2 linked regions of the Caenorhabditis elegans genome follow. The protein of the gene in region 2 purifies or fractionates together with the protein of the main gene of each other region. This does not show direct contact. Each region holds a gene or a part of one and is shown on either strand. Other genes may lie near its edges.

Region 1 (5,062 bases), on a different chromosome or scaffold from region 2:
TGTAGCTGGTGAGGTTTGCGTCACTGGAGAAACTAGGACAATTTCGGGTTGTACTTCAGATTCCTCAACTTTCTGAGATTCTTCCGGTTCGGCTGCCTCATCGTAAACAACATTCAACCCATTCGACACTTTTTTCGGACGCTCCTGTGTAATGGTCATTGTCGGATCAGGATCACAGAGCACGGAAAAGTCAGTAACTATCTGCGTAGTAGCTAAAGATCTTTCTGGAACGAAGACAGAATCATCGCCAAGGACCATTGTCTTTTCGCTAGCAAGATGTACAGTGTCGGAAAACATAGCATGTGCCTCCAAACACTTATTTTCCGCCATCAAATCCAATCCAGCTCCACTCTTTGATGTTCTTGCAGAAGCAGTTGAATAGTTGGAAGATATGCTTGTGGAACGGTCTGGAGGGTTACCATCTTTTCTGCCGGCAGTCATAATCTTGAGTCTTTCATCATCATCTGCATCATCGGAATCACTAACATCTTTCTCCGAAGCAGACTTTGTATCCGACGAAAGTGTCACTGTCGCTGGAGGATTCTCAATTTTGCTCCGAAGTGCAGGTCTGTGAGCATCCTTCGTTGCAACCAGCGGCGAATAAATCCGGCTTCGCTTTTCCTCCTCATCATCAACCGTTTTCTCACTGACTGGTGAAAGATGACGTCTTCTAGGATTTAGATTGGCGTTGAATCGGTTTTCAACTTCTTCGCGGGCTTGTCTGTCGGTATCAATGACTTGATGTTTCACGAAAACGACACCAGAGTCTTTTCGTTTTCGGTAATCGTCATCAACATCTTCTCCGAAAGTGTCCTTCCATTTGGCAAAACGAAACTCCTCAATCGATATTCCATGATAGTTTGGCCTGTCGATACACGCCTGGCGAAGATCCGTTTTGGCTGTAAGTTTCCAATGAGAATAATAACTTTTTTTCAAACTTACTTTTTGGTCCAAATGCAGCTTTTCCCGAGTTATTTATAGGCACATTGTGTTGCAAAAAGCAAACCGAAGAGCGACGCTTTTTCTTAGAACCCGCATTGAATCTGAAAAGATCCATAGTCTCATCCGGTCGTGTGAACATATCTCCAGATTCTCCATTGAAGTATTCATCGACCAAATCGCGAAATCCCGATTCAATTGCTGTCATTTCTATTCTTTCGGAAAGACGATCTCGTGCCAACTTCAGGACATCTTTGAATTCCTCCAGCATTTGATCTTTTCCACATTCTTCTGCCCATTGCAGATAGAACTTCAGCGAACCAGTGAAATGATCCTTTTTGAAAAGTTGTTCATAAATGCCTCTTCCCTTCAGGTTTGTACTAGATCGACCCATAACTTTGTAGAGACGGAGCATCGCTTCGTTTTCACGAATTTGATCAAACTTTTGCTCCCGCAAAATTCTCCTAACGCAGTCGTATAATTCCGCCTTCATTTCCTCCGCGGTCATCATTTGAGACAACGTTTCGATTTGCCTGAAAGTGGTGACTATTTAAAATACAAGATATACGGAAACTTACGTTGCGAACGTCTCAAGACCACATGTCGACGGATTGGTGTCGAGTGGAGCGAATGCCACTCTAATGTGGGACATAACTTTCTGAAATAATCTGAATAACAAGTTTTCAAAGTAGAAAGGACGCGAATAAAAAAATCATCGGTTCACGAAAATTACGGAGTTCATTGGAGACGTGAAATCCCTCTTTCTCCTCTAAATTTTAGGACCTTCGAAAACAAGAAATGGATATAAACGCGCGCGTCTTTTTTGAAAAGCGAGTCTTCGCGGGCCTGCTCGATAGAGCGCGTTTTTCGCTGTAGTTCAGTGACGTCACTCTCATGGCTACGTTCTTTTGAATCTGGAGAATTGCGCACTACTGAAAATTGGGCGGTGCTTTATTGCTATAACTGAAAATTGATTTTAAAGCTATTTGAAATTATAAAAAAACAATTTTTTAAAAAGTGTTTGTATGCAATTGGAATTTAATTTGAAATGTTACACTTTTAATAACACAAAAAGCCCGCCCATTTTTTCGTAGTCCGTTCGTCACTAGTTTCGAAATCGACGGATCTGCATTGAGTCTCTCATTTCTTTTTTATTATTTTTCAAACATTTTCTCCATTTTCCTGTTTTGTTTCTTTTTTTTTTAAAGCAAAATGTTTCGAAATAATTGAAGTTAGCGTGGCCCAGTAGTCTAATTTGTCACCAGATAGTTAAGAGTGTTTTTGTTCGTCCGAAAAGTTAGTTCCCGAACATCAAAATGCTAAAATTAGTCATTTTGTGCTTCGCGTTGTTCTACAATACAGTCAGTTCGACAAGATTTCTGTTTGGCGTCGAAGTTAAGTGTGATTTTGATGAAGTGTTCCAATTAACAGTGTCGCATTGGGAAGACGATGGCAATACTTTTTGGGATCGCGATGAAGACATCACTGGACGTATGACTATGTTTGCTCGAAAGAAAATATTTTTCTATCAGGACGGCCATCATGGATTTGAATTTGGAAAGCTCGAGCCTTATGGGTGGTTTCTGCACAATTGCACGAAAAATGGAAATTTTCGCGAGTATAGGCACGGGTTGAGTAGCACCAGTGGATCCAATGGGTTGGAGTATATTGAGTACACTGTGAATTTGACGAACGCCTGAGAAATATCAAATCAAATCGAACTAACTTTCAATTTCAATAAACATTCTCTCTAATTACGTTTTAAACCAGTCTTAATTTCAGATGTCTGAATTTCTGAAAATTGTCAGAGCTAACAAAAAATCGGACAGAAAACTCGATAAGACCTACTTGTGGGAATCCTATTTACATCAGTTCGAGAAAGGAAAAACTTCTTTCATTCCAGTTGAAGCATTCAATCGTAACCTTACAGTTAATTTTAACGAATGCGTGAAGGAAGGAGTTATCGTGAGTTCATATTGTTCGTAAATCGGTTTTAAAATACAATTTTTGTAGTTCGAAACAGTGGTCCATGATTATGACAAGAACTGCGATTCGATTCAAGTCAGATGGTTTGCACGAATTGAAAAAGTTTGCGGATACAGAGTTCTGGCTCAGTTTATCGGAGCTGACACGAAATTTTGGCTCAATATTTTATCGGACGATATGTTTGGTTTGGCAAAGTAAGTTGGACGCTCAGCTCTTTCTACTATTCTAAATAAATAATGGTTCTGTTACATAAAATTCTAGAGAACAATCGTATTAAAACTTCGAAACATTTGTATAATAGTAAAATTTGAACATTTCAGCGCCGCAATGAGTGATCCCAATATGGATAAAATTGTATATGCTCCGCCGCTTGCAATCAACGAAGAATACCAAAATGATATGGTAAATTATGTAAATGTAAGTTTGTTTTTTTCCGAATTTATGTTAATATCATCTCACAACTTCAGAATTGCATTGATGGCGAAATCGTCGGCCAAACTTCGCTGTCTCCAAAATTCGATGAAGGGAAGGCTCTCCTAAGCAAGCATCGTTTCAAAGTTGGACAACGTCTTGAACTATTAAATTATTCCAATTCTACTGAAATACGCGTAGCGCGAATTCAAGAAATATGTGGACGACGAATGAATGTATCTATCACAAAGAAAGACTTTCCCGAATCGCTTCCAGATGCAGATGACGACAGACAAGTCTTTAGCTCTGGATCTCAATATTGGATAGACGAGGGAAGCTTCTTCATATTTCCTGTTGGATTTGCAGCAGTCAATGGATATCAACTAAATGCGAAAAAGGAATATATTGAGCACACAAATAAAATTGCTCAAGCAATAAAAAATGGAGAAAATCCAAGATATGACTCAGACGACGTCACATTTGATCAATTAGCAAAAGATCCAATTGATCCCATGATTTGGAGAAAAGTTAAGGTTGGACAAAAGTTTGAGCTCATCGACCCCTTGGCTCAGCAATTCAATAACCTCCACGTCGCTTCGATTCTCAAATTTTGCAAAACTGAAGGATATCTTATTGTGGGAATGGATGGTCCAGATGCACTTGAAGACAGTTTTCCTATTCATATCAATAATACATTTATGTTCCCAGTTGGTTATGCGGAAAAGTATAATTTGGAACTTGTTCCGCCAGATGAGTTCAAAGGAACATTCAGATGGGATGAATACTTGGAGAAAGAATCTGCAGAAACCCTACCGCTTGACTTGTTCAAGCCAATGCCTTCCCAAGAGAGATTAGACAAATTTAAGGTAATTCTGATTTCCAAACGGGTTGTTTTATATCGTTTGAGATTGTTTCACTATTAATAGTTATTCATAATTGTTTCTTGTTTTAAGGTAGGACTACGCCTTGAAGCTGCTGACATGTGTGAAAATCAGTTTATTTGTCCAGCTACAGTGAAATCAGTTCATGGAAGACTGATAAATGTCAATTTCGACGGCTGGGATGAAGAATTTGATGAACTGTATGATGTGGAGTGAGTTTATCATGACCGAACGACATTTTTTCAATGAAAATTCTATCATTTCAGCTCCCATGATATTCTACCGATAGGATGGTGTGAAGCGCACAGTTATGTTCTACAACCTCCGAAAAAGTACAACTATTGATAAAAGCTACATTAACATAATTTCATTCGTATGCAGGATCTCTTATATACACTTTCCCGTTTTGGATTGGTATTTCCCTTATTTTATTTACTGTGCTATCATTGGTGACTCTTTTTGCACCTATCGAACATGAATCTTCAACATTATTTTTCCGTTTATGGTTTCTTTTGTATCTTTTCTGCATGGTTATCGCCATTTTCTTATCTATTTAGTATTAGTGGTATCACTTTAAACATTCTACCAGTTTTATGTTGAATGTTCTGAAAATATTAAGCGTTTTGGTTTCAGTTTATTGTATCATGGCCTCCGAAGACAAGTTCGAGTCGGTTCTATCAACTCGTTACTGTAAGAATAGTCCACTTGTTTCGATCCTCTCGGAGACTAATAAAGCGACTCTTTGGAGACAACTATGGATTTGGCTCGCTGAAGCTGAAAAAGAGCTCGGTCTTAAACAAGTTACTCAGGATGCAATTGATGAGATGAAATCCAATAGAGATGTA
Region 2 (5,231 bases):
GCTCGAAAAACTTATTTCTATTAATATGTTCATATCCCAAATCTCCACGAATCTTGATATTTCTTTTCTTCTTTTGTTTGCTTGATGTGAAATCATCACTATCGGAATCAGAATCAGAAGAAGACGAAGATTGATTATCTTGTTCTAGAAGACTTTTCTGAAAATCTTCTTCACCAGAGGACTCTCCCGGTTCGTATGAAAATTCCTTCTCGTTACTATCAGTAATATTACGATTTTCCTTCTTAGTTTTTGCATGCTTCCACCGAAGTAGTTTTTTGCGGATAGTGTACTCATCTGGCTGAAATTTGAATATTTTAGAACTTGAAATGCTTCACTGCACTCTACCTCTACAAATTCACTTTTTTTGTTTTCTGATGCTTCAAGAGCTTGTACTTCTCCGCTAGTGAGTCCTCCGATCGCAGGAATACTCGATCCAAAACCGACATATGGCAAACGTCCAGAACTCGGTGGTGGTTGGTAAGTAGCCGACATTTGTAAATAGTTGGCGAACTGTGCGGTTTGAGTTGTATGTGATTGCGCGTGATGTCTAAAATTTGAAGAAATAAAGAAAAAAGTTTCGAAGCAATTAAAAATAAATATCTTTAAATTGTATTTGTTGTCTGAGTGTCTAAGACCAAAAATTTCATTAAAAAAACATTTTTGGAAAGTAACACTCTGCTTTTATAATTCGCTTCGCGTTTATATTCCACAGTTCTATAATCATCTTATCAATAATTTTCATAAGATTAACTTGAATAGTGGTTGAAACTTCATGAACTATTTTTTTCTAATGAAAACTCACTTCAACATAAACTCGGTTCCAAATGTTTTTCCGCATTTTATACAGGTATGATTAGCCTCGTGTTTTTCTTTGAAATGCTCTTCGATTTCAACAACAGAATGAAATTCTTCAATGTTACATTCAGAACAACTCAGCGGAAGTCCAATGTTTAGTTCAGACATCACTTGAAATTGAATTCGTATTCCTTTCCCTTCATCTTTCAACGGTTTTGGGAAGTAAGCAACGACCGGAACCAACGGTTGACAAGAATGGTTCATCTGTAAAAATAATTGTAATCAGAGAAAAAAATGTATAATCACTCATGACTCACCAATGCAGTTGCAAAATACGTCCATCCTTTCTTTCCTTCGCCTGATGGTTTTACCGACAGCCACAATCCGCACTGAGAACAGCAGAGGTACATGTACGCGGCTTCAAGATGTAAAGTTTGCTGTTTGAAAGTTAATTGACGCAGGTACTCCGCAAACTCTTTGCAATCGTGTTTAGTTAATTCATATCGAGACGGATAAACTCTGTAACAGATATCACATCCGAAAAGGTGAACCACGTCATGATGTCCTAGGTAGTGTTCAATAGTTTCACACATATTTAAGAACAATGGCTGATTTTCACAGCAATTTGGGCGAACAGTTGTCCCGCGCGCAATCGGACTTGGCTGGAAAACTTTTGATTTAGATAAATATCAACAACCGTAAATTTTACCGGATGACGCGGGTCCGTGACCGAGATTTCGGAAAGCGGCATCGGCATATTTTGAACAAAAAGTCTTGAATCGAACACATCCTTCCTTGCAGCATACTCCCAATCACGACGAAACGTTGGAGGCATTGCATTGTATACATGACGAATACTTTTCAATAGGATTTCGTCATGATCTTCATTATTTGCCCCAACGATACAAAGTTTATCGACAGTTTGCCTGAATTTTAAATTGAGAATCTGAACGTTGCTTTAGAAACTAACATTATCGAAAAAATCTGGTTATCACTGAGCCATGCACAAAACCGTCGAAATCCTCCAGAAGCCCTCCGTACAGCAGGTTGTGAATCTAGTCGGAATCCAATTACTCGTTCACCTTCTGCTCGCGCATCTTCTGCTAATGGGACAATCGTTTTAAACACATCTTCTTGTTTTGGAGGTCTTGAATATTGACTAGCATAGGTTGGTAAACCCGGAACTTGAAATTGACGGGATGCGCCTTTTGCATTAGGTTTCTTCTTTCGGCCAGAATTACCCTCATTTTCTTCCATATAATTTTCGTCCAGCTCATCTCGTGTTCTTTTCGGCTTTTTCCGGTTCCCTCGGCTTCCAAAATCGGTAACCAGTGACTGAGCTTGAGCTTCGTCACCTCGTTCAATACTCGCGTAGTTTACTGATCTACGGGGTCGGGAAGAGTGTCCAAATGTGGATAACGGAGCTTTCGATTCAAGAGGATCTCTGAAATATTCAATGTAAGTGTAAATATAATTCCTTTTTGATTTATGGTAATGAAAAAATAAAAATTTAACCAGGTATTTAGATTTCGTTCAGTTAAATGAAAACTCGGTGAAACTCAGTCTAAATTGAATTTAAAAAATTACCTGATGCAAGAAAAATGTGAGGCCCCACGAAAAGGGGAGCAGAACGAAAAGGGGATCTGCAAAAAGGGGATCTGCGAAAAGGGGAGATACGAAAAGGGGAGCTGGCACTGTGCCAAACGCACAAAACGCTTTTTTTATTCTCATTCAACGCACGCATTATTTGTGTATTTTACGCTAAACAACGCGCGATGCGTAATAACGGAGTGTGGTTATAACAAAGTCGTGCGTTGAATGAGAATAAAAAAGCGTTTTGTGCGTTTGGCACTGTGCCAGCTCCCCTTTTCGTTGCTCCCCTTTTCGTATCTCCCCTTTTCGTATCTCCCCTTTTCGCAGATCCCCTTTTTGCAGATCCCCTTTTCGTTCTGCTCCCCTTTTCGTGGGGCCTCAAAAATGTGAATTGCGAATGAGGAAAGTGCGCTCTAGTGGCACAAATTTAAATAAATTCGCACAAATTTAGCAATTTTAACAAATGTTTGACTGTGAATGCTTTCTAAGTGCATTTTTGAAAGTTTCCTTGAATAACTTAAACTTAACCTACTTTTTATATTCTTCTGATCCTCTCTTCCTCTTGACAGCAGGCTCTTTCATATCCTTTTGCATAAAATCAGCAAGCCGTTGTGCCTCCTCTTCTTCTCTCTGTTTGGCAGCTGCTATCTCATGACTGAGATCAGATAATCCTGTACGCAGTGGAGCGCTTTGATTGTTATTCGCTTGCTGAAACTTTCTCTGGGGTAATTTAAACAACTTGATTACTGATTCTCACCTCATCTGGAACTTCTGGCTCCTCCGTTTTAACGAGTGGGGCTGTTTGGTTGAGCTGTTGAAACAGCTCAAACTCATCCATAGTTGTTATTTGGAGAGCTGAAATTTTTTTTGAAAAAGGCAACAGAAAAAAATGAGAGAACTGAACGAAAAGAATGACTGGAGATAAGCTTTATCTCAAAAAAAAACTAAAATATCAATCTACATGAACTTCCAGTTTGAATCAAAGATAATTATTCAAGAATCTATCATATGTTCTCGAAATTAATTTACGCCTAACTTGCGTATTTTTAAACGTTTGTTCGGTTTTTTACGATGTATAGTGAATACCAGTAACTTAATTGTTTCAAATTTGCGCGTGAAATATACTGCAATTCGTTGGCTAACCTCACTACTATGATACAAATTTTATACGGGGCGCGGTTATGTGGGCGTGTCCGACCCATTGAACACACTTATAAGAACTCTTTAAAATGTTTAGGTTTTTTATTAGATAAGTTTATTTCATTGGAGGTCTAATGATTTCAAAAAACCGAACTCTGAACTTTCGTGAGCCCTTTCCCACTAATTACTGATCTCGACACGACTACACGCAGAATCAGCGCACATCCTGTCATACTTCAAACTCAATATATTTTAAAACCCCCGAAAAAATAATATTCTCATTTAAAAAAGCAAAATCCGGAAACGTGTTACGGAATCGACAAAAATTTTGAAACTGCGACAAAAATTTTTACCGATCTTTTGGCGCGCATTGGAATTGAGAATTTGAAGGCTGTGTCATATAGAAAGTACCGCAGAGCGTATATGCCACTCTGCGTCTCTCATATTTATTGGTCAGACGGACAAACGATGGTAGGAAGACTATGAGCAGCGGAGAGGGCGCAGAGAAACGAGACCTATTTCTTTGCCCTGCTGCAGTGTCTACTGCAACGGGGCTAGCAAGGACGAATCGATTGGAGAAAAAAGAAAAGTGAATGGGTTTTGCCCAAAGTGTTTGCGTACATTACGGCGCTATATTTGACGACAGTTTGAAATATTTAAAAATTTAGCTGTGCAACTACAGTAATCCACGGAAACAAATTCAAAAAGGACTGGGGTCTAAAACGGTCAGATGATTCAAAATAAAGAAGGGTATCTGTAAATGGATACTGTACACTGAAAATAATAAAATGTTCTGTCGCGTAAGTACAGACCCCAAAAATTAGGCAGAACTTTCGAAAACTGTGCAAACACACCAACCAGTTTTATTATCGTAATTTCGCAACAAATTTCACTCGTCAGTTTAAAGGCACACGTTGTTTTTCTGAGCGGGTCTCGCCACGATCACAGTCATAGTGATCGCTACAGGTGCCACATTTTTCAGATTTATTCATTTGAAAAAAGTACATTGTTAAATTCTATAGATTTGAACAGTATACAGCTCCGAAATTAGAAAACAGCTAAAGTGGAAATTCGAGCAAGCCCACATTTGAACCCAATGAGCAGGAAAAATAAAATAAAAGCAAGAAAACTTAAAGAAGCGCTCAGTCAAGAACTCTGCAACTATAGTGTGGTCTTGCAGCGATAATTTTACTGTACTCTAAACTATATTTATTTTCTCTAGAAAACAAAATAATATTCAAAAACACACTACACATTTTTCCGGTCCCGTGTGTGTTAATGTTCACCACGGCGCACAATTGCGGACACTTCGCGGCGGTCAATACAATTTTAGGCCACTGCAGGGAAGAGAGAAAGTGGGCGGCGGCAGCCCGCGTAAATAACCAGCCACACACGAAACGAGACTGAATAAATGAAAAACCGCGACGCAGCCGCTGTGCACGATTTCTCGTTTGGGATACCTTCAGAAAATTTACAAAAGTGAGGAACGGGTGGCGTGACCGCGACGCGACCGCAACGCAGAATCAATAACTCCAAAATAGGATTAAAGTTTAAAAATCAGTCAATAAATAACTTTGAGAAGAGAAATTAGGATAGAATTAAGATTCGATATTGATTTGAAAAGTTAATACTGGGCTTAGGAAAAGTTAATACTGGAACTTTGCAATATAAATTAATTTGTAGTGTTACTAAAAGAATTTTAA

Evidence for each region.
Region 1: the proteins of lin-13 (region 2) and lin-61 purify together in Caenorhabditis elegans (affinity purification with western blotting, with the first as the bait; one study listed by BioGRID). This does not show direct contact.

The regions. Positions count from the first base shown.
Region 1 is NC_003279.8:7,248,476-7,253,537, reverse strand, and holds lin-61 (Protein lin-61), read left to right. Parts: upstream 1-2,255; coding exon 2,256-2,618; intron 2,619-2,721; coding exon 2,722-2,904; intron 2,905-2,952; coding exon 2,953-3,119; intron 3,120-3,245; coding exon 3,246-3,342; intron 3,343-3,392; coding exon 3,393-4,202; intron 4,203-4,289; coding exon 4,290-4,429; intron 4,430-4,483; coding exon 4,484-4,562; downstream 4,563-5,062. Other genes in the region: Mitotic checkpoint serine/threonine-protein kinase bub-1, read right to left, coding at 1-899, 943-1,472, 1,518-1,591; adsl-1 (Adenylosuccinate lyase), read left to right, coding at 4,862-5,062. UniProt on the Caenorhabditis elegans protein: Synthetic multivulva class B (synMuvB) protein required to repress the induction of vulval development by Ras signaling. Unlike other synMuv proteins it does not associate with the multiprotein DRM complex and the NuRD-like complex.
Region 2 is NC_003281.10:7,706,247-7,711,477, forward strand, and holds the start of lin-13 (Zinc finger protein lin-13), read right to left. Parts: upstream 3,246-5,231; 5' UTR 3,227-3,245; coding exon 3,146-3,226; intron 3,103-3,145; coding exon 2,921-3,102; intron 2,240-2,920; coding exon 1,766-2,239; intron 1,722-1,765; coding exon 1,505-1,721; intron 1,458-1,504; coding exon 1,113-1,457; intron 1,060-1,112; coding exon 803-1,059; intron 766-802; exon of another isoform or gene 616-765; intron 548-615; coding exon 346-547; intron 299-345; coding exon 1-298. UniProt on the Caenorhabditis elegans protein: Involved in repression of vulval fate, possibly by a tumor suppressor protein Rb-mediated mechanism. May act in a common pathway with retinoblastoma-like protein homolog lin-35 and hpl-2 to influence the ER stress response in the intestine.